Canis lupus familiaris: one gene and its partners. The protein of the gene in region 1 interacts with the protein of each later gene in a pairwise test. Links are inferred from orthologs where the notes say so. Each region holds a gene or a part of one and is shown on either strand. Other genes may lie near its edges. The genes, in order: PIAS1, ATXN1, MX1, SMAD4 and HTT.

Region 1 (4,235 bases):
GCCCCGGGCACGTACAGCAGCGAGACCCGCACGTACCATTTAAATAAAGGCGCCAAGCGAGGAGGTTTGACAGTTACTCCCCCCTGGACCTCCCCGCCCCCCATCCTCGCCGGGCTAGCGCCTCCGGGGAAAGCCGGAGCGGGGGGGCGGGGGGGGTGCGGGCCAGAGCCCCGCCTCTCCGTGGCCTGCAGAACCCTTCTTGCAAAGCTTGGATGCCTGCAGTCCCAGAAACCATAACGGCCCCCTCGCCTCCCCCCTCCTCCGCCTCCCCCCTCCCCCCCGGCGCAGCCAGCGAGTCCTTTTCAGCACCTGCTACCTGTGAGGCCACGCGTGCGCTAAAAATAATCCGTTACGTTTGCAGATCGCTGGATGAAGCATTTCCAGATTTCTTAGCTCAGATGTTCCTCATGACGGCGCGGTGAGGTGGGCAGAGGAGACGTTACAATCCCCGTGGCATCCTACGTAGTCAGAAATGAGAGCTCAGGGAAGGGGAAAAGTGAGTGGCCCAAACACTTTGACAGCGGTGACCCGGAGACAAAATTTCATAGACGTTCGTTCATTTAACTCTGTTTCAACGAGTGATGATTCACTGATTATGTACCAGTCCTGTTTCTTTGTGAATACATCGGGGAAATTTAAAAAAAAAAAAAAAAAAGAGTCCCCGCCCTCCTGTATGTAGCTCTCTACTGGAGGAACAGACAAGTGCACCGATAAAAGATACAATTACAAATGGTGAGGAGTACCGGAAAAGAGCTAAAAAGGTCCAGGGAGAAAAAAGCGGTTGGAAGGAGATGTGCTTGATACCGGGAGGGCTTTCTCCAATATTTTGACGTTTGAGCAGATGTGATGAATTATTTCACACCTTTTCCTCGCTACTGAAAGCTTCCCAACCTCCACTCTTTGCTCTCAATTTTTGCTTCATTCCTCATGGAAAAAAATTAAAAGATATAACAGCCATGAACTCCCTTATCTTCTCACCATCAAAACTATTATTACAGACATAGTAACATTTGGGTTACTATGAATGAAGTGTCCTTGCGCCTATGAATGCCAGTCCCTCTACCAGTGACCTGGATTCCTTTCCCTCCCACATTCCTAAAAACTTTACTCCTACAATCACCTCGCCCTCCAGCATCATAACTTTTTCCCCTATTAGATTACTTCTATCAGGATACAAACATACTGAAATTCCTCCCATCTAAAACAAACCTCCCTTGACTCCAAAATCTCCTCCAGAACTGCCCTATTTCTCCCTCTTCAGTGCATAAATTCTCAGGTTTTTCAAGATCTCCCAACAGTGATTGTTCTCCTTTCCTCATTCCCTTCTCCTACCACATTCCCTTCTCAGCCCACTCCGATCCAGCCTTGACTTCTCTCATCGAGATCACTTATCAAGATTATTAATAATCTCTGTTTCCAAAACCACCTGTCAATTCTGTATTATCTAAAATGACCTCACAGCAGAACTGCAATAACTAAATAAATCTTAAAAAAAAAAAAAAAAATGGATGGGAGCTGGTCACTGGAAAGACTAAACATTGGGCACCTGGGTGGCTCAGTCGGTTAAGCATCTGCCTTCAGCTCAGGTTATGATCTGAGAGTCTTAGAATCAAATCTCACATGAGGCTCCCTGCTCAGTGGGGAGTCTGCTTCTCCCTCTCCTTCTACCCCTCCCCCCTGCTCATGTTCTCTCTCAAATAAATAAAATCAAAAAAAAAAAAAAAAGAAAGAAAGAAAGACTAAAGTGATTAGAGGGAGGTTAGTAGATACATGGAAGTACTAGGAAATGGGCGCCAAGAGAGAGCAGAGAAGCTCTGCATTCCCGCCCTTCATGCATTACCCTATGAATCTCTTTCACTTAGCTGTTCCTGAGTTATTTCCTATATATTAAACTGGTAGGGGGCACCTGGGTAGCTCAGATGATTAAGCATCTGCCTTTGGCTCAGGTCATGATCTCAAGGTCCTGGGATCGAGTCCTGTATTGGGCTCCCTGCTCAGTGGGGAACCTTCTTCTCCTTCTCCATCTGTCTCTCCCCCTGCTCATGTTCTCTCTCTGTCTGAAATGAATAAATAAAATATTTTAAAATAATAATGATAATAATAATAATAAAGTGGTAAATGTAAGTAAAATGTTTTCCTGAGTTTTGTGAGTCCATTCTAATAGATAATCAAAACTGAGCAGAAATTATAGGAATTCTCAAATTTGGTAGGTCAGAAGTTCAAGTGGCCCATGAGACTGGCAACTGGTATCTGAAGTAGGAGCAGTCTTGTGGAACTGAGCCCTTAACCTGTGGGATCTCAACTTATCCCTGGAGTTGATGTCAAAACTGAATTATTGGATATTTAGTTGGTGTTAGAAGAATTGGTATGGAAAGATTTAGTGTCAGAACCTCAGAGTTTCTTTAATATATATATTTTTAAAACTACATTTTACATTTGTATTGGTAAAGACTAATGCAATCCAAGCAGAGTATGCTTATTTTTTTCTTCTGATTTTAAGGATTTAAAACATTTTTGTGGGCCCTAAAATGATTGTCCCACCAACATGTAAAAATTAACTTCGAATTAATCATAGACCTAAATATGAGTTAAAACTTTAAAACTCTTTGGGGTAAGTCTCTATAACCTTGAGTGAGAAGTAGCTTTCTTAGATAGGGATCACACACAAGTTTGTGGTAGGAATGGTATAGCCATTTTGGAAAAGAGTTTGGCCGTTCTTTGAAAACTGAAAAGGTACTCACCATACAACCCAACAACTCTTGGACATTTATCCCGGAGAAACAAAAACTTCTTTCCATGAAGGGAATTGTACAAGAATGTTCATAGCAGGGATCCTTGGGTGGTGCAGCGGTTTGGCGCCTGTCTTTGGCCCAGGGCGCGATCCTGGAGACCCGGGATCGAATCCCACGTCGGGCTCCCAGTGCATGGAGCCTGCTTCTCCCTCTGCCTATGTCTCTGCCTCTCTCGCTCTCTCTCTCTGTGACTATCATAAATAAATAAAAATTAAAAAAAAAAGAATGTTCATAGCAGCTTTATAAGAATCCCAAACCAGAAACTATCCAAATCTCCTTTAATGGGTAAATGGCTAAACAAACTGCAATACAGGTATCTTATGGAATACTACTTAGCAATTTAAAAACAAAAACAAAAACACACAACAACTTGGATAAACTTCATGGAAATTATACTGATTGAAAAAATAATAATCCCAAAAGGATGTCTATTATGTAACATTAATGAAATAACATAAATACAGAGATAGAGAATAGACTAGTGGTTGTCAAGGAATTAGGGATGGGGGGAAAGGGTGGTTCCTACCAATGTCAATTTCATGGTTTTGATATTACACTTTAGTTCCACAAAATATTAACTTCCAGGGAGACTGGGGAAAGGATGCATGTGACTTCCCTATACATTTCTTTGCAATCTCCTGTGAATCTATAATTACTTCAATACAAAAGTACACATTTTTTCATATATATATGTATATATGAATATGAATATCTAAAAAGTATACATGTATATAAATATTGAAGATACAATGTATCAAAATTGTGAGGAGAGGGATATCATCAAAATGGCAGAACTGACAGCTCTAAACCCCCATACCTCCATGGAAACTTTAAAAAATAACCAGCAACTGTCAGACCAACTTTGTCAGAATTCTGGAAAACAGTCAACCAAGTAAATGTTCAATCCAAAAAATAAAGTAAAATAAAATAAGACAACTTAAAAATGGCAAGAAAACTTTATGATACTTTCATTTATCCCTGCCCTACTCTATCTATGACTTGGCCACCGCAGCCCACCTTCCTAGGATGGAGCTCTAGTCCCTGGAAATCATTGTTTTCATCTGTTCTAATCTTCCTGGAAGCCAGCTGAAGGACTAACGCAAGGCTTATCTCTCTTTTGCTTAACCAGCAGAAAAGCGGCAGACATTGCCTGAAAATACTGTAAGGTAAATAAACAACCTGCAACTGCCTGGGGACGAAGGTTACCATTGGTACCTAAATAGACCACCTAAAGCCTGGGAGTAAAAGCTAAGGAGAGAAGTATACTGGGAATTTAGGTCATTCAAAATGAAAAGTGCTCATGAACACAGGGGCATTTAGAAGGCCATGTAACATGCCTGAGACAAGATGCATCTCAGGAAAGACCCCAAAAAGGCCTAAGATTCCAACATTGGCTGCTAAACATGTTAGTTGCAACCAGGAAGTGAAGGCTAAGAAAGAATT
Region 2 (4,029 bases), on another chromosome or scaffold:
GCTCCCTCCAGCACGGATGTCACTGCGCTTCCTCCAGGTGCCACACCTGTTGGCAAGGTGCACCCCTCGACAGCAGGCTCCTCGCCACCCAGCTAACACCTGGCGGCGGCACGCGCGGAGGGGGCGGGGCGGTGGGCCGCGGGGACCCGCGCCGGGGGGCCGAGCGCGGAGGAAGTTCCCCAGCGTGGATCCCCGAGAACTGCCATTTGACGTTCGGTTTGCTTTCTGTGTCTCCTGCACCGGTTACCTCATTTCCGATTAAATTAATGATCCGAATGAGCCGCGAGAGCAGCGCGCGGGTCGTCTTCCGAGGCTGGGGCTGGGCGCTACCGAGCGGATTTCCAGACCTGCAGAAAGCGAAACGGGGTGGGGGGTGGGGGGTGGGGGGGTGGGGGTGGGAGGAGGGGGCACCCGCTCCGGCAGGCGGGAAAGGTGACGGTGCCCATGCGGGCGCGGGGACCCTGCAAACTTTCCCGAGTCGCACGCAGAGGCAATCCCCGCAGCCCCGCGGGCCCGGTTCAGGGGCTGAAGCCGCCGCGCGGCGATCCGAGTCTGCCCCCTTAGACGATTCTCGGCGCGCCCCGGACCCAGGGCACGTCGGGATCACCCTCGCGCCCCCTCCCCTCCGCCTGCGGGCCGGAGCCCGACACCCCCCGGAGCGCCCTGCAGGCCGCCGCGAGCTGCACCCCGCCGTCCTCGCCCCGTCCCCCTCCAACTAGGTGCAGGGACCCGGGGAGGCGCGCGAGGACCGACCGGTCACCGCTGAAATTACCTCATCGCTTCAGCTCCCCGCCCCTTTCCCAAACCTGGAAGAAGCGTCCCTCCGGCCGGAGGCGCCCCCCCCGCCCCCCGCTCGCCAGCCGGTCGCCGGCCGCGCGCCGCCTCCCGGGGCCGCCTCCCCGGGCCGCGCGCAGCCAAGGGTTAAGGGCGCCGGCCGGGCCGTCCGCCGCGCCGTGCGCTCGCGCTGCTCCGAGCCGCCCGCCGCCCGCCGCGGGGCCCCCCCCGCCACCCCCCCACCCCCCACCCCCAAGTCGGATCCTTGAGCTGCGGCGGCGGCAGCCAACTGCTCCATATTTGGCTTCTATTACACATTTACATACTGGAGCGAGCGAGCGAGCGAGCGAGCGCGAGAGAGCGCGAGGGAGGGAGGGCGGGCGGGCGGAGGGAGGAGGGAGGGGAGGGGAGCGGGGGGGTCGGAGGAGGAGGAGGGCGAGGAGGAGGAGGAGGAGGACGAGGAGGAGGAGGAGGAGGACGGGGAGGAGGAGGAGGAGGAGAGAGCAGAGTGTACCGCAGACATCATTTCTACTACAGTGGCGGAGCCGTACAGGACCTGTTTCACTGCAGGGGGATCACAAAACAAGCCCCGCGGAGCAGCCGCCAGAGCTACAGCAGCCGCAAGACACTGTTTCTCTCCCTCTGCCCCCCCTTCCCCACGCAACCCCAGATCCATTTACACTTTACAGTAAGTGGCTATTTTTTTCTCCTCTGATTCTCTCCTCCCCCTCCCCCATCCCCTTCGCCCCTTATCTAGATTAAAATTGGCCCCTACCCCCGCTCTCCAGAGAGGGGCAAAAGCAACAACCAGCAAACAAACCCCAAACCCCAGTCGCCGGCACAGAAAACAGCTGGAAGAGGAGCGAAGGAAATCGACGCGTCGTGCTGTGTCGTGTGTGTGTGTGTGTGTGTGTGTGTGTGTGTACATACCGCCTTCTCCCGCTCCAGCCTCCCGGGCCGACACCCCCGCTCGGGGCGCAGGGACTGACGGCAGGGGGGCTGCCGGGCCGGTGGGCGCCCGCCCGGCGAGGGGGCGCGCCCGGGCTGGGGGTGCGGGAGCGGGAGCGGGAGCGGGCGGGGGAGCGGCGGGGCTGCCGGGCCGGCCGCGAGTGCGGAGACCCGCGTCCCCCTCCCTGGAGGCGGCGGCGGCGGCGGCGGCGGCGGCCGGGGGTCGCGCTGCCCTCTCGCCCGCCGCCCCCTGCGCAGCCCGGGCCCCCGGGAGGGCGGCGGAGCCAGTGGGTCCGGAGGGGGGCCGGGCCTCCCCCCCGCCCCCCGCGAGGGCCGCCCGGCCCCTGAGCCCGGGGCGGGGGGTCCCCCGCGGAGGCCGGCCTCGCCCGGCGTGTGGCTGCGGCCCGGGACTCTGCGCGCGGCCGGGCGCCGGGCGGTGGGAGCGCGGGGGGCGCGGAGGGGTGGGCGCGGGGGGAGCCGACGTGCGGGTGCCGGGAGCGCGGCTGGAGCGGCGGCGGCGGCGGCCCTGCCGCCTCCTCCTCCTCCTCCTCCTCCTCCGCCGCCGCCGCCGCCGCCGCCGCCGCCGCCGCCGCCACCGCCGCCCTGTTGGTGCGGCCGCTTCCTGATCATGTGCAGCCGCCGCCGCCCGGAGCCCGGAGCCCGCGAGCGCCCCAGCCCGGGCCGGCGCCCCCGCCAGCGCCCGCGGCGGCAGCGGAGGAGCGGCGCCGGGAGTGAGCGGCTGCGCGGCGGCTGGGAGGGTGAATGAAGCCAGGAGGAGGGGAAGGAGGAGGCGGCGGCGGCGGAGGAGGCGCTGCGGGGATTGGGATGCGCCCTGGAGCCCCGCTGCTCGCTCACTCTGGGCCGGGCCGGAGACTCCGCCACTCCCGCGGCCGCCGCCTCCTACGTGGTTCCAGCGCCGCGAGCAGGCCGGTCCCGCCGGGGGCAGGGAAGGGGCCGGCCGGGCGGAGCGAGAGGTGAGGCGGCGGCGTGAGTGTGAGTGAGTGCGTGCGTGTGTGAGTGCGTGTGCGCGCGCGTGTGTGTGTGTGTGTGTGTGTGTGCGCGCGCGCGGGTGGGGGCGCCGGGGCGGGCGCGGGGGGCAGCGGCCCCTCGCCGGCCACTTGGCTGACTCCGCGGCGCCCCGACCCCTCCCCGGCCCCCCGCCCTCCCGCCGCCTTCCGAAACTCCGGGGCTTGTGCTTTCATTTTATTTCAGACCACGTAGGGGGCTGCCTGGAAGCGGTGCAACAATTCAGGTTTTCTAGGGAGACCGAGCAAAAGGACCTTCGTGGGGGGTGGAAGTAGGGTGGTGGTGGAGATCTTGCCAGAACACAGCAGCAGCAGCAGCAACAACAACAAAAAAAATCAGTTTCCAGGGACCGTGGGGTTCGGTTCAACCCTGTGGCTGCTCTGTGTTGTTGTGCTTTCTTAGTATATAATCCTGCAGATAAGAGGGTAATATAAATACTTCGGGAGATTGGGAAATTGCTGAAGAGTAGTAAGGGGGAAAAAAAAAAAAAAGCCAGTCGGAAGCTGGTTATATAATGCGCGATGTGGCTAACGAGAACGGCAAGCTATTTTTATTTTGTTTACCGTATGCTGTGCAGTAAGGGACTCCTCCAAACTGGTTCTGTCCCCGAAGAGATTCGTAGCTTCCCTGCGAGATCCGCAGGATACGATCAGTAGAATTAGACGACCCCCTTGCACCCGCAGAATAAAAACTACCGCCTTAGAGTGGCAGGCTCCCTGCGTGTCCCTTGGTGCAGGCACGGGAATGTGTATATGCAAATAAGCTCTCCTTTGGCAATCGAGTAGTCACATCTCAATGACATTTGTGTTTTGTAATGCAGGCTGCTCTTAATATTTAAACATTGTCGGTACATATCGCACAGAGCAGTGGGTAGTTACTTGATGGTTATTTTTAGGCAGAGCCAGTTACTTTTTCAATAGTGTTAGTTAGCTAAGCCATTTCTGTTTGGGTTTCTGAGGAGCCCTGCTGTTCGTTCCTAGAAGCCCCTGTGAGCCCACCCTGTGGTTTATTTGTAGTTTGATACTTGGACTTTTTTTTTTTTTTTTTTTTTTTTTTTTGGTGGAGTGAAGCCTGTGCCTGAGGAAACCAGCACCAAAGAGAAGGTTGAGAAAATCCTGCACATGAACTCTTAGAAAGGGATTGCACCATAACAGCTAATGCTGTGGCATTTAATCTCCTCTGATTGTCCTCCAAGTGTGCGTGCCTCAGTCAATATTTTAGCAGCTCCACAGACGAACAGGCTTGGAAGCCACCTTCCATGGACAGCAGAGGGTGGAGGGC
Region 3 (3,513 bases), on another chromosome or scaffold:
AGGCAAGTCTTAGGATGCAGGGCCCTGCCCCGTAGAGTCTGACACAGGAGGGTTGGCGGGGTCGAGGCACTTGAATTTCTAAACATTCTGCAGTTATTCCTGCAGCAGGTGGCGCGTGGCCCACCCTCGGAGAAGCACAAGTCCGGCCAGGACCAGCGGCATCATTGGCTGAGGCTGCTGCAAAGTGAAGACCACCTATGGCGTCTAGGTTCTTCCTTCTTCTTACCTATGGTCCTGTCTCCATCAGGGTCCACCTCCTGAGCCATGCTCAGTGCCTCCGTGGTGGCAATGTCCACGTTGCAGGGGACCACCACCAAGTTGATCGTCTCCTGCTTAAGGATGTACTTCCTAATGAGTTGCTTGGTCTGCGGAAAAATAAGAGCATATGAGAGCAGGGACAGGGCCTGACCTTGCACTTGCTTTGGGACCTCAGAGTCCCAGGAGTATCTCCCCAAAAGAAATGAGCCCACGGCAAATCCTGGTGGCACTTAAAACTCATGCCTGGGTTACAAGAATCCAAGTTTCCCCGTGGCAAAAACAGAGCTCTGGGGTCCAGAGCTCTGGGAAACCACCAGATCTTAGCCCAGTAACTGCCTTCTAAGACTCCACAGCTGATAACCACGGGGAAAAATAAAACTCAAAAAAGCGCTCAACTGTGCCCTAAATCTTTATTTCATCTATTGGGTGACATTCGCCAATACGAAAATATCATTATACTTGTTTCTAATGCTTTCTCTCCCCACATAAAACCCCTTCCTAATACACATTGGTCTAGATACACCACAAAATGTAACTATAACCAAAAACGAGTCACGGGGTAAAACGCGAACGTGTGTAAAATGGATTTCCAGTCTTGCCTGTTGGTCTCACACTCCCCAGAGTGCCTCCATCTGACTTGGTAGAGGCCACAGAGACCACCACGCTCTCCCCATCCACTTCACACCTCCTGAGATTCACTATCCTGGCTCAGCCCTGAACCCACTGCTGTCTGGGGCACCACTCCGCAACCCTCCCAGACCAAGGTTTTACCTGGCGTCCGATGTCAGCTGGCTGATTGCCCACAGCCACCCTGGTGATGCCAGGGAGGTCTATCAGGGTCAGATCCGGGACATGAGGAGAGCTGACCTCCAGGCTGATTAGCTCATGACTGATCCCCTGTCCTTCCCCGGCAATGGCATCCTGGGCTAGGGAAGGGGGAAATGAGAGAAACTCAACAGAGCTTATAGTGGAAGCATCTCCCTACAGCCCTACAGCAAAACTTCCCTGCCATGAGTCCTGGACAAGGCATATCTGGAACAGATGTACTTTTCTGGAGCTAAAAGGAACCTCAAAGCACAACTCAGTATTTTCTTTGCCAATGGGCAGAACCATATGCAGAGAGACCTAGTGAAAACATCCCTCAAGATCACCCCCACCTGTACCAGTTCAGAGCTGGGCAGACCTGAGTTCTTCCTGCTGTCACACCTAAATCTTCCCATTGATGTCATTAGGAAATTACCAACAAGGTAAAATGAAAGCAAATAAAAACACACAGGGACTCTTGAAACATGATCTGGAAAGGTATGGAGGGGAATGTGGTTATTTCAAGGAAGATGAGCACTGGTATTCCATTATGGGATTTCATTTTACTTCTTCCTCCTTAATGATGAAAATTTCAAGATATACATGGATTTTGTCAAATTGTTAGCTGCTACCATTTGACTTCTTTCTACAACCAGAATGCCTTTTTGGCTTGTTTTATACACTCAAGACCTTGGGATGAGAGTGACAGCAATGGCATGTGTGTCATTATCTGATAACTGTGCCTCCAATTTCCATTTACCAGATATGTGGTTGTGAGATTAAGTTTGGCCCATGAGATAAATGTGACAAAGGCACAGGCAACCTCCATAAACTCTCCTGAACAGGCAGGAAAAGCCCTGTGCTGGTGTCCAGCTGGCTGGGACAAGGGAATTCTGAATAATTATGTGGCTTTGGGAGTGACGGCCACACACAACGAGAAACAACATGGGAGTCTGGTTCCTGACGCTGGAACCCTCAAACCAGCTCTGGTCTGCCCACCTCCAGACATCTACATGAGAGAGAAATAAAATGGGCACATTGTTTAAACCACCGTGTTAGCAGCCCACTTGCACAAATGGCCTCAACAGTCCCTTCCATCACTGTCTGCATGCTCCTCTACAGGGTGACCTTCTCCCATTCAGACAGTCTGTCCCTTGACATTGGGCTTGCCCATGTGACCCCCTTTGGCTGACAGGACATCACAGAATGGATTGCAATAGAGATTGAGAACTTGTGCATGGGGCTTCTCCCCCCTTGTTGCTGGGAAGCCCTCTACCACCATCTAAAGAGCCCAACTTGGCCTCCTGGAAGAGGATGGCCACCACATGGAGAGAAGGCCTGGTCATTGCAGCCCCGGGCTTGGGTATGTGACCAAAGCCATCTTGGACTGCTGGACCCAGCAAGCCAGCTGATCCTCTGAATCACGAGTAATGAACAGTTCCAAGCCATTGGGTTTTGAGATCAGTTTGTTACACAGAAAGGGACAATTAAGTATACACAGTGGTTTTGAATTTTCTGCCTTAGGAGCTAACCTGACCCCAACAATCACACAATAGCGTTTTGACTATAAAACATCCCTTAACTTTTGTAAAAAACAGTCTGTAAATACGACTTAGGGCTTCTACTTCATAAAAGTCAAACTCCTTTTCTGCTGCTCAATATTAATGTTATGCTACTTTTGAACCCTCCTCAAATGATTGAAAAGCTTATTTATTCTCCTCAGTCTCAGCAGCAGCCAATGGGGTCACTACTGGTCCTTCCCTACTTCAAGTGCTATTTCCCCTTTCAGATGCTTCAAGTTGGCAGCGTGACCTGCGTGGCTTGCATTCACTGAGACCTATCGTAAGTCAGCCCAAGCTAGGATTATGCACACACATGCATTTCACTCTTGGCGGAAAGGGCCCCAGGAAAGCTTCTAAAGAGGGTTCAGGAGTGTTCCAGAATGCCTTTCAACCAGGTGAATTCCTACGTGAATGGGAAAGAGGTTTCCCAGCCCCACAAACCGATTCTTCCTCCATCAGATCTGTGGAGGGGGAAAGCCCTTGAATAAAGGACAGCTCCTCCTTGTTTAAATTTTAAAATTCACATTACCTCCAGATACTTACTTACAAACTAAGCAATAAATTGCTGAGATCAGATCCTGTCCAAGGTGCTGGTCATAATGAGGGTCAAAGAAGAGAAGCTATGAGGGAGCCAGGGCCTGGCTCACAGGGTGAGAGGAAGACCAGCCCAGAAAGGGAAGGTAGGAAGAAGGACAGATGGACCTCCTCCCACTTCACACAGGTGACCAGACATCCAAGCAGGTGATGACAAACAAACATGGGGCACTCACCTTTATTGATTTCCACTTCCACCTCTGAAGGGTCTGAAATCTCCATCTCAGTATCCTGGTAACTGACTTTGCCTCTCCACTCATCCTCATTTATGAGCTTCTTCAGCTTCAGCACCAGA
Region 4 (3,513 bases), on another chromosome or scaffold:
TCTGCCTGTGTCTCTGCCTCTCTCTCTCTCTCTCTCTCTCTGTCTCTCTGTGTGTGTGTCTCATGAATAAATAAATAAAATCTTTTAAAAAATCTATAAGTGATCATTTATATTTCTTAGGTGGCTGGTCGGAAAGGATTTCCTCATGTGATCTATGCTCGTCTCTGGAGGTGGCCTGATCTTCATAAAAATGAACTCAAACATGTTAAATATTGTCAGTATGCATTTGACTTAAAATGTGATAGTGTCTGTGTGAATCCATATCACTATGAACGAGTTGTATCACCTGGAATTGGTAAGTAGACTTTGCTTTTATCTTCAGATGCATGAAGGGAAAAGTTCTTGATACTGTTTTAATTTTTCTATGCCAAATTATAAATTTGGATAGAGCCAGGACTTCAGCTAAGGTTAAGAATCAGATATTTTTAATGAAATATAAATATTTAAATTTAAACTTTAGAATAGACTTGTATTTTGACTGCTAAAACTAAGTATACACTATAGTTCATGTTCTGCTCATCTAGAATATTGGTTTTGAAAAATAAGGTGGAAGGCATTATAGAATTGAATAGTTTATGTATCGTCAGATAGCATTTACACTACTACTCTTGAGTTGAAATGGTTTGTGAAGTGTTGAATCTCTGGGTTAAATTTATACTTTGTAATTTTAAATACAGTGGAAAATATTTTCATGGTAATGATTAATGTTTCATTTTCTTTTCCCTTTTAAAAAATTAAGATCTCTCAGGATTAACACTGCAGAGTAATGGTAGGTAATCTGTTTCTTGTAACTTTCTCTGTCTTCTTTATCCTGTTCCCTCTATTTTTTATTGACCTAAAATTAGTTTGTATGGATGCTGGTAATATTTACAAGAAAAATACTTACTGCTTTGGAAATCCAGTTCTTTGGGAGCACACATCAGTATTTAAAACTGAATTTAAATAGCCTGGTGGTTTGTTGAACTACCATTTATGCACTGGAGTGACCTAAAAAATATGATAGGGGAATATAAAACATATGAAGAAAGAATATTTTTTGAATTGATAAAAACTGATCATTTTGGAAGAAAATCTTACAGAGCCAATTTAAATGAATATAAATACCTATAATGTTTGGTAATTTGGAGTCATATATAGCATGTCCTTTAAGAAATACTAATATTCTAATTTTTCTTTGTTTTTCCCTATTTTTTATGAATGATAATTTTAAGCATGATTTAAAACTACATATGTTAATATTTTTTTCTTGTTACATTTTTGAGTAAATGAAACAAGGCTACTTTAACTTTCATAGATTATCTAATTCTCTTTTAAAAGAGCATGTTTTGAGGTAGGGAAATGAAATCAATGAGGGGTGGTGTTTTTTAGTGTAATATTTGAGAACAGAGATCTGTTGAAACTTTAGTTTTATTACTTAGAATATGAACTAAAATTTTTGTAAGCAGTTAATTTGAAGAGAAACTCTGATAAAGAACCACCATTATCTTAGAAAGATGTGCAGTTGTTCTGGAGGAACAGTGGGTTGGTACTTGTTGCAGAATCTTAGAGGTGGGTCAGAAATACATCTAACCTTAAACAAAATTTTGGAAGAGCTTGAAAGTCTACTTGTTTTTATAGTTCACCTTTCTTCCATGTCGCTATAATAGAGGAAGACTCCAGTCCCTTTTGGTACTTGTTACTGGTTAGTAGGTTTCTGAAAACATGGATTGGTAATGTGGTAGTGGTCTGGAAGGGTAGCTCTAAGATTGGTTTAAGTCTTGCCTCTTTACTACAATTTACATTAATATTAGTCTTCTTTTTTCTTTGAAAGTAAATACCCTTCAGATCTTCACCATTCTCCACCCATGCTTTTGGAGAATTAAAGTATTTAGCTCAGCAGGGGTTAAGGATTGGGGGACTCTAGTGATATCTATATCAGAATCTCCTTAGTGGGAGTGGTTGTGAGGAGATCCAGTTTTGAAGACTCATTACACTCCCCCCTTATCCTAACATGTTGCTGTTATGAGTAGCTATCTTTGGTCATCTTTGGTCAGATTGTGTGTGGGGGTGATAGGCTCTTTTTAGTAGCTCTAAGGGTTGTTTTAGCCTTGCACATCCCCCTAGTGGTGGTTTGTAAAGGCCAGTTTCAGTGGCTTATTTCCTTAAAAAACAACAGGTGTTTTCCACATCCCCATCTAGATTTGGACAGAGTAATAATATAAAGCCAGGTAAAGAAAAAGTTAAGAAAATGGGATAACTCCTTCACTTTTGAGTTGGAATCTTAGGGTAATCATTTCCAGCCTATTTCATATCTTCTGTGAAGCTTTCCATGACCACATCAGTCTGCATATTCATTTTAAGAGATGTTTAGTGAGCATGTATTGCTTGGTACTGTGTTAGGATCTAGGGACGATAGGATAAGTAAGGTGTGTTTTCTCCACACTAGGTAGCTAATAGTTTAGTGGAGGAAAGACAAAGTAAATAAGACAGCAATAGCATCAGACGAGTGCTGTGCTCTGCCTGCTGGTGGGGATAAGAACACTGACTTGGGGTGAGTCCAGTGGCTTCAGCTTTTCTGTCCCTTATACATTTCTTACCCCTCATAAAATATTTTACAGTTATATGTATGACTGCTGTAAAAGTATGGTTAAAGCATAACAGCTGATACTTGATAAGTACAGACTTTTTGTCCAGAACTGAGCTGTACGAGTTACAAGTATTGCTTCATTGTTCTCGTTATACTCCCACATGGAAGGTGGCATTATCTACGCTTGATGAGATGAAGATCATGATAGACAGGAGGAGCTGGAGTAATGTGTCCTCGATATTAGATATTTAAACAATAAAAAAATATTGGAAAAAAATATTGTAGTATAAGTTCCATGAAAGAAATTTTTCTTTTCTTTATTCATGTGTCCCAGGTACTAGAACAGTACTCAATAAATATTTATTCAGTGAATAAATTTGTTGAATGCTAGTCCATAAAGAGAAATAGCTAATAGTTTGGTGTCTGTTATTCTGGACTTAAAAAATATATACTATATGTTTTTTTAATTTTATTTTTTTGAATAGGCAATACATGGTCCATAAATCAAAATACTATAAAAAGGTATACAGTGAAAAGAAGTGCTCCCACCCCTGCCCCCATTCCCCCCTACCTCAGGTAATCACTTTTATTAGTTTCTGGTGTTTCCTTCCAGGGTTTCTTTATGCAAAAAAAACATGTATTATTTCCCTCTTTTTCTTACATTAAAAGCATATTGTGCACTTGTTCTGGACCTTGCTTTTTTAATTACAGAATGTGATTTTTTAAACATGCATGTGATCATAGTGTACAATGGTGTTTTGTAACCAACTTTTTTTCTCTTGGCAAAAATATTCTGCAGATATCTATCCTTGATACCTATAGTTTTACCTAAGGGACATGTTTTAAGTTATTTGATTGAAGACACTTGCAGTCGGTAGAACTCTCAGACTTACATTGGGGAAGGTTTATTCAGTGTATTAGGCGAGAGAAGGTTATGAGGCGTAGCT
Region 5 (4,111 bases), on another chromosome or scaffold:
CTCCACAAGGGCAGAGCTTTATCTGTTGATTGCTGCAGCCCTGCAACTATTAGCACAGAGGCATACATTAGATGCTCAGTAAATATTTATCGATGGATGAATAACTAAAGTCAGGTGGAAACCAGGTGGGAATCTGAAGGACAGTAAGAAAAGCACTAAACACAAATGTCAACTATCTCATAATAGAGTTAGGACCGTCCCCACCTCTGGCACTCCCCTGCATGCCAGCCCTGCTGAGATTCTAGCCGGTCCCCTCCCACAACCCCAGCATCCCTGCATCCTACATGCTGAGCAGCAAGCAGGCACTAAAGCCCACGCATGGCTGTGACACTACAGCTCCACACAACAGAAGAGAACCATAAAAATAGAACAGATACTTTCTAAATCATTTTTGGACAATCCTGCTTTGGGGAATGGATTTTTCAGCTGAAGCACCTGAACAGAAATGCCAGGATCCAAACTTGTAAGCAGAGTCTGTTACTCAAAATTCATAAATTTCTACTTTCTCAACAGCAAAGTGCCTACAAATATGATATTTATGTATTTTATTTAAAATAACTACTATTAGGCCCATCAATGTAGTTGATTTCAGAGCATGCTAGGAAGCTTTAAAAGTTACTACTCTGAAATATTTCTATTTTAAATAACTCGAAATCTCTCTTCATGTATCCATGGGTTCTATCTGTAAGGGTACAGAAGGAAGAAGTTTAAGAGAGCTTGCCTCTGGGAACACAGTTAGGTACTCAGGAGAAACAGACGGAAGAGAGACATTTTAATTATTATATTTTTGTAATTCAAGAATTTGCATCATGGGAGTGTACTATTTACATGAAAATAATAAATTACGCTTTTTAAATAAGTCAATCACATATGACCTTAAAATAGGGTAATAAAACAACATCTATCTACTTTTGCAAGGGCAGTTTTAGAAAAAAAAAAAACCTACTTTATACCCATATTTTGAAGATAAACAAATTCAGATTCTGTCAAATCAGTGTAAGAAACAGATGGCACATTTTTAGACTGACCAAGTATTTGAACAAGCCTACAGTGACAGCAGTAAGGTCTCCCTTCCCACCCAAAGCCCTCCCTCCTTAACGCTTCCTGTTATACAAGACCCATGCAATGTGTGAACTTCCATGACATCTACCTCCTAGAGAGAGGCAGTCCAATAAAAGTCTGGGATGAATTATGATGATAAATTACCTGATGTAGAAAGAACTCAAATTATTTTTTAAGTATTTTTTTTCTCGAAGCATCCAAACAGGTTTTTCACCTCTTAGAAGAAAAATTAATTTACTTCTAAAGTCTATCCTAACAGCCAAGTCAACATCACTCCCCAAGTCATTTTCTAATTGAACTCTCAAGACATGGCAAGGACCACGTCAGAAACACAAAGAATAAAAAAACACTACTAAAATTGAACGTGACATTATAAAGGGGCTGCCCCTTGGAAACTGTCCTCATTAAATGCCACCACGCATCCAGATGGCAAACCCAGACGCCGGGGGAGAGAGGCCCGGACCGCCGCCGAGCACTCCCGCACTCCCGAGCTCACGGAGCCCGGGGAAAGTACCTGGGTTCCGCCGGCAGGAGCGGTCTCCAGGCACGAGCAGCAGAGACCCCTAGCTTCCAAACAGTAGCACGCAGGCGTCTCCAGCGAAGGAAACAGGAGCCACCCACAGGGACCGCAGGCAAGCCGAACTCCGAGCTGGTGTAATGCACATCATTCCTCCCCCAGCGCTGAACCTCCCTCTCGGCAACGGGTTGTTTTTATTGCCAAGTGAACACAGGCAATAAACTTCAGGCGACTCTTCCTAATAATGACCTTCTAAGCAGCTCACCACTTCCTTGGGTCTGCAAACCAGCTTGAGCTTAGACACGCGAGCGGATCTCCTCCTGATGCCAGCGGACACGCCTCGGGAGGATGCGGGAAGGCAGCCTCGAGGCGCAGAGAAGAGCCCCGCGGCGCCGGGGCCGCACTCCCGCGCCCTCCCCGCCCCCGCGGCCTGAAGGCATGATGTCACCGCTCTCCCCCCGCCCCACCCCCCGCGCTCGCTCCCAAGCCCGGCTCGCGGCGGGGTGTCCGGCGCCCGCGCTCCTTCCTCTCAGGGACGCCCAGGGGGAAGGGAAGCGGCGGCCTCGGCTATCCAAGTTCTGCCCACAGCACAGCCCGTTTCGTGCAGATACAAAGCAGCAAGTTCCTCCCCTAACTTCGCACGCCGGGAAAGGCGGGGGGCCGAGGCCGTGCCCGCCTCGGTGCCCTCGGGGGCGGCCGGCGAGCCCGAGTCCGCCTGCCGAGGGGCGCAGACACCCCCGGGGCCGGGTCTGGCCGCAGGACGGGCGGCGGTGCGCGCCCGGGGTTCGGGGAGCCGCGGGGCCGGGGTCTGCAGGGGCGCCGCAGCCCCCCGCCGTCGCGGGGCCGGAACTGCCGCGAGGCGGTACTCACGGTCGGTGCAGCGGCTCTTCGGCCACCGCCGGGCCCGGGGGCGGCGGGGGCGGGGGCGGCGGGGGCGGCTGCGGTAGCGGCGGCTGCGCCTGCGGCAGCGGCTGAGGAGGCTGAGGAGGTGGCGGCGGCGGAGGCTGCTGCTGCTGCTGTTGCTGCTGCTGCTGGAAGGACTTGAGGGACTCGAAGGCCTTCATCAGCTTTTCCAGGGTCGCCATGGCGGCCTCCCGTCCCGCGGGGACAGCCCCCCGAGCCCTCGAGCCGACCGGCGGCGGCGCTCAGCAACGCGGCAATGAATGGGGCTCGAGGCCGCGGACATGAGCGGAACCAAGGAGCCCGGCCATCTTGGACCCGTCCCGGCAGCCCCCGCGGCCGTGCGTCTCTCGACGCTGCGCCGGCGGGGCGGGGCCAGGGCGGCGGGATTGACAGCCCGGGGCGGAGACCTCTGCCAATGGCCGGCCTAAGCGCCGGCCTAAGCGCCGCCTGCCCCTCCCGCGCCCGCCCGCTCGGCTCCCAGCACCGCCGCGCGGCTGAGATCACAGCCCCACTTTCCGGTGGGGGCGGGGCGGGGCCCGGCGGGGCGGAGGATGGGGGCGGGGCCGGGGCGGGGCAAAGAGGGCGGACGAGGCAGGGGACGCGGCGGGGAAGCACCTGCGGCGGGAGGGGCGGAGCGGAGGAGGTAGGGCGCAGGGTGGGAGGCGGGGCAAAGCACAGGGTGCAGGGTGGGGGCGGGCAGTGAGGCGGGGCAGAGAGGACGGGGGCGGGCGGGGGGCGGGACAAAGAGGGCGGGCGTGGCAGGGGGCGCGGCGGTGAGGCACCTGGGGCGGGAACGGCTGGGCGCGCCAGGCAGAGGATGGGGGGGGGGCAGGGGGCGGGGCAGAGGTGACAGGGCGGGGGGTGAGGCACGGCGAGGCGGGGAGGGGAGGGGAGGGCCTAGGACAGGCACCCGGTAGAAACCTGCCGGGTCAGTGCCTGCAGCCCGCAGAGTCTGTGGCTGGTGCCACGAGCAGCCACTTAGACCCCAGAGGCGCCACGCATAGCAATGATGGCCCAACCCTAACGGGTTCGCTTGGAGGAGAAGACCCTTGCTCCACAGAGGTCTGCAGGGCACCTCCTGCTTAGGGTGGGTAGGCTCTGAGAAGGGTCCTGGGCTCCAGAGCCCCACTCCTTGGAGGCGAGGAAGTGAGCCAGCAGAGGACCACAGAGGGCGGTGGCGCATCAGGGGGCACCCTGCCTGGCAGGGAGTGGGTTGGCCCCAGAGAGAGTTGCCTGGGGAGGGGAGAAGGGACGGGGGTTGATGCATGCACTATGAACCCTCCCGATCCCACTCTGCCCACAGGCCACAACTCCACCTTCTCTCACCGCCAGTCAGTTGTCCCAAGTGGTCAGATAAAGGGAAGCCCAGCGGCACCACAGAAGCATTGCCCCTGAGGGGAGAACGACAGGACCCCCCCCCCTTCAGGGAAAGGACATCAGAGAATGTGCCCCCAGCCTGGAGGGCCTAGTTCCCTGAAGTTAATAATGAGGTGTGTACCAGGTCTCAGGCATGGCAGGCCACAGCGGCCAGGCTCCAAGTGTCGGGTGCTGTGGTCTGCAGACATTAAGACAGCCAGGTGACCCCTTCCTGATATTCATGATATCCATGCCTTCGTATGATCAGATCCC

The links.
Region 2: the proteins of PIAS1 (region 1) and ATXN1 interact in binary tests that used the Homo sapiens proteins (3 or more experiments, as listed by UniProt). The link is inferred for Canis lupus familiaris from reciprocal best matches to the Homo sapiens genes PIAS1 and ATXN1.
Region 3: the proteins of PIAS1 (region 1) and MX1 interact in a two-hybrid assay, tested with the Homo sapiens proteins (2 studies listed by BioGRID). The link is inferred for Canis lupus familiaris from reciprocal best matches to the Homo sapiens genes PIAS1 and MX1.
Region 4: the proteins of PIAS1 (region 1) and SMAD4 interact in a two-hybrid assay, tested with the Homo sapiens proteins (2 studies listed by BioGRID and IntAct). The link is inferred for Canis lupus familiaris from reciprocal best matches to the Homo sapiens genes PIAS1 and SMAD4.
Region 5: the proteins of PIAS1 (region 1) and HTT interact in binary tests that used the Homo sapiens proteins (3 or more experiments, as listed by UniProt). The link is inferred for Canis lupus familiaris from reciprocal best matches to the Homo sapiens genes PIAS1 and HTT.

Annotation. Positions count from the first base shown.
Region 1 is NC_049251.1:32,546,723-32,550,957, reverse strand, and holds the start of PIAS1 (E3 SUMO-protein ligase PIAS1), read right to left. Parts: upstream 2,814-4,235; 5' UTR 2,799-2,813; coding exon 2,742-2,798; intron 1,506-2,741; exon of another isoform or gene 362-1,505; intron 1-361. UniProt on the Homo sapiens protein: Functions as an E3-type small ubiquitin-like modifier (SUMO) ligase, stabilizing the interaction between UBE2I and the substrate, and as a SUMO-tethering factor. Catalyzes sumoylation of various proteins, such as CEBPB, MRE11, MTA1, PTK2 and PML.
Region 2 is NC_049256.1:17,160,931-17,164,959, reverse strand, and holds the start of ATXN1 (ataxin-1), read left to right. Parts: upstream 1-1,221; 5' UTR 1,222-1,462; intron 1,463-2,437; exon of another isoform or gene 2,438-2,696; intron 2,697-4,029. UniProt on the Homo sapiens protein: Chromatin-binding factor that repress Notch signaling in the absence of Notch intracellular domain by acting as a CBF1 corepressor. Binds to the HEY promoter and might assist, along with NCOR2, RBPJ-mediated repression. Binds RNA in vitro.
Region 3 is NC_049252.1:35,797,780-35,801,292, reverse strand, and holds part of MX1 (interferon-induced GTP-binding protein Mx1), read right to left. Parts: coding exon 3,395-3,513; intron 1,185-3,394; coding exon 1,030-1,184; intron 366-1,029; coding exon 227-365; intron 1-226.
Region 4 is NC_049222.1:24,020,636-24,024,148, reverse strand, and holds part of SMAD4 (mothers against decapentaplegic homolog 4), read left to right. Parts: intron 1-120; coding exon 121-295; intron 296-739; coding exon 740-769; intron 770-3,513. UniProt on the Homo sapiens protein: In muscle physiology, plays a central role in the balance between atrophy and hypertrophy. When recruited by MSTN, promotes atrophy response via phosphorylated SMAD2/4.
Region 5 is NC_049224.1:61,750,086-61,754,196, forward strand, and holds the start of HTT (huntingtin), read right to left. Parts: upstream 2,804-4,111; 5' UTR 2,665-2,803; coding exon 2,450-2,664; intron 1-2,449.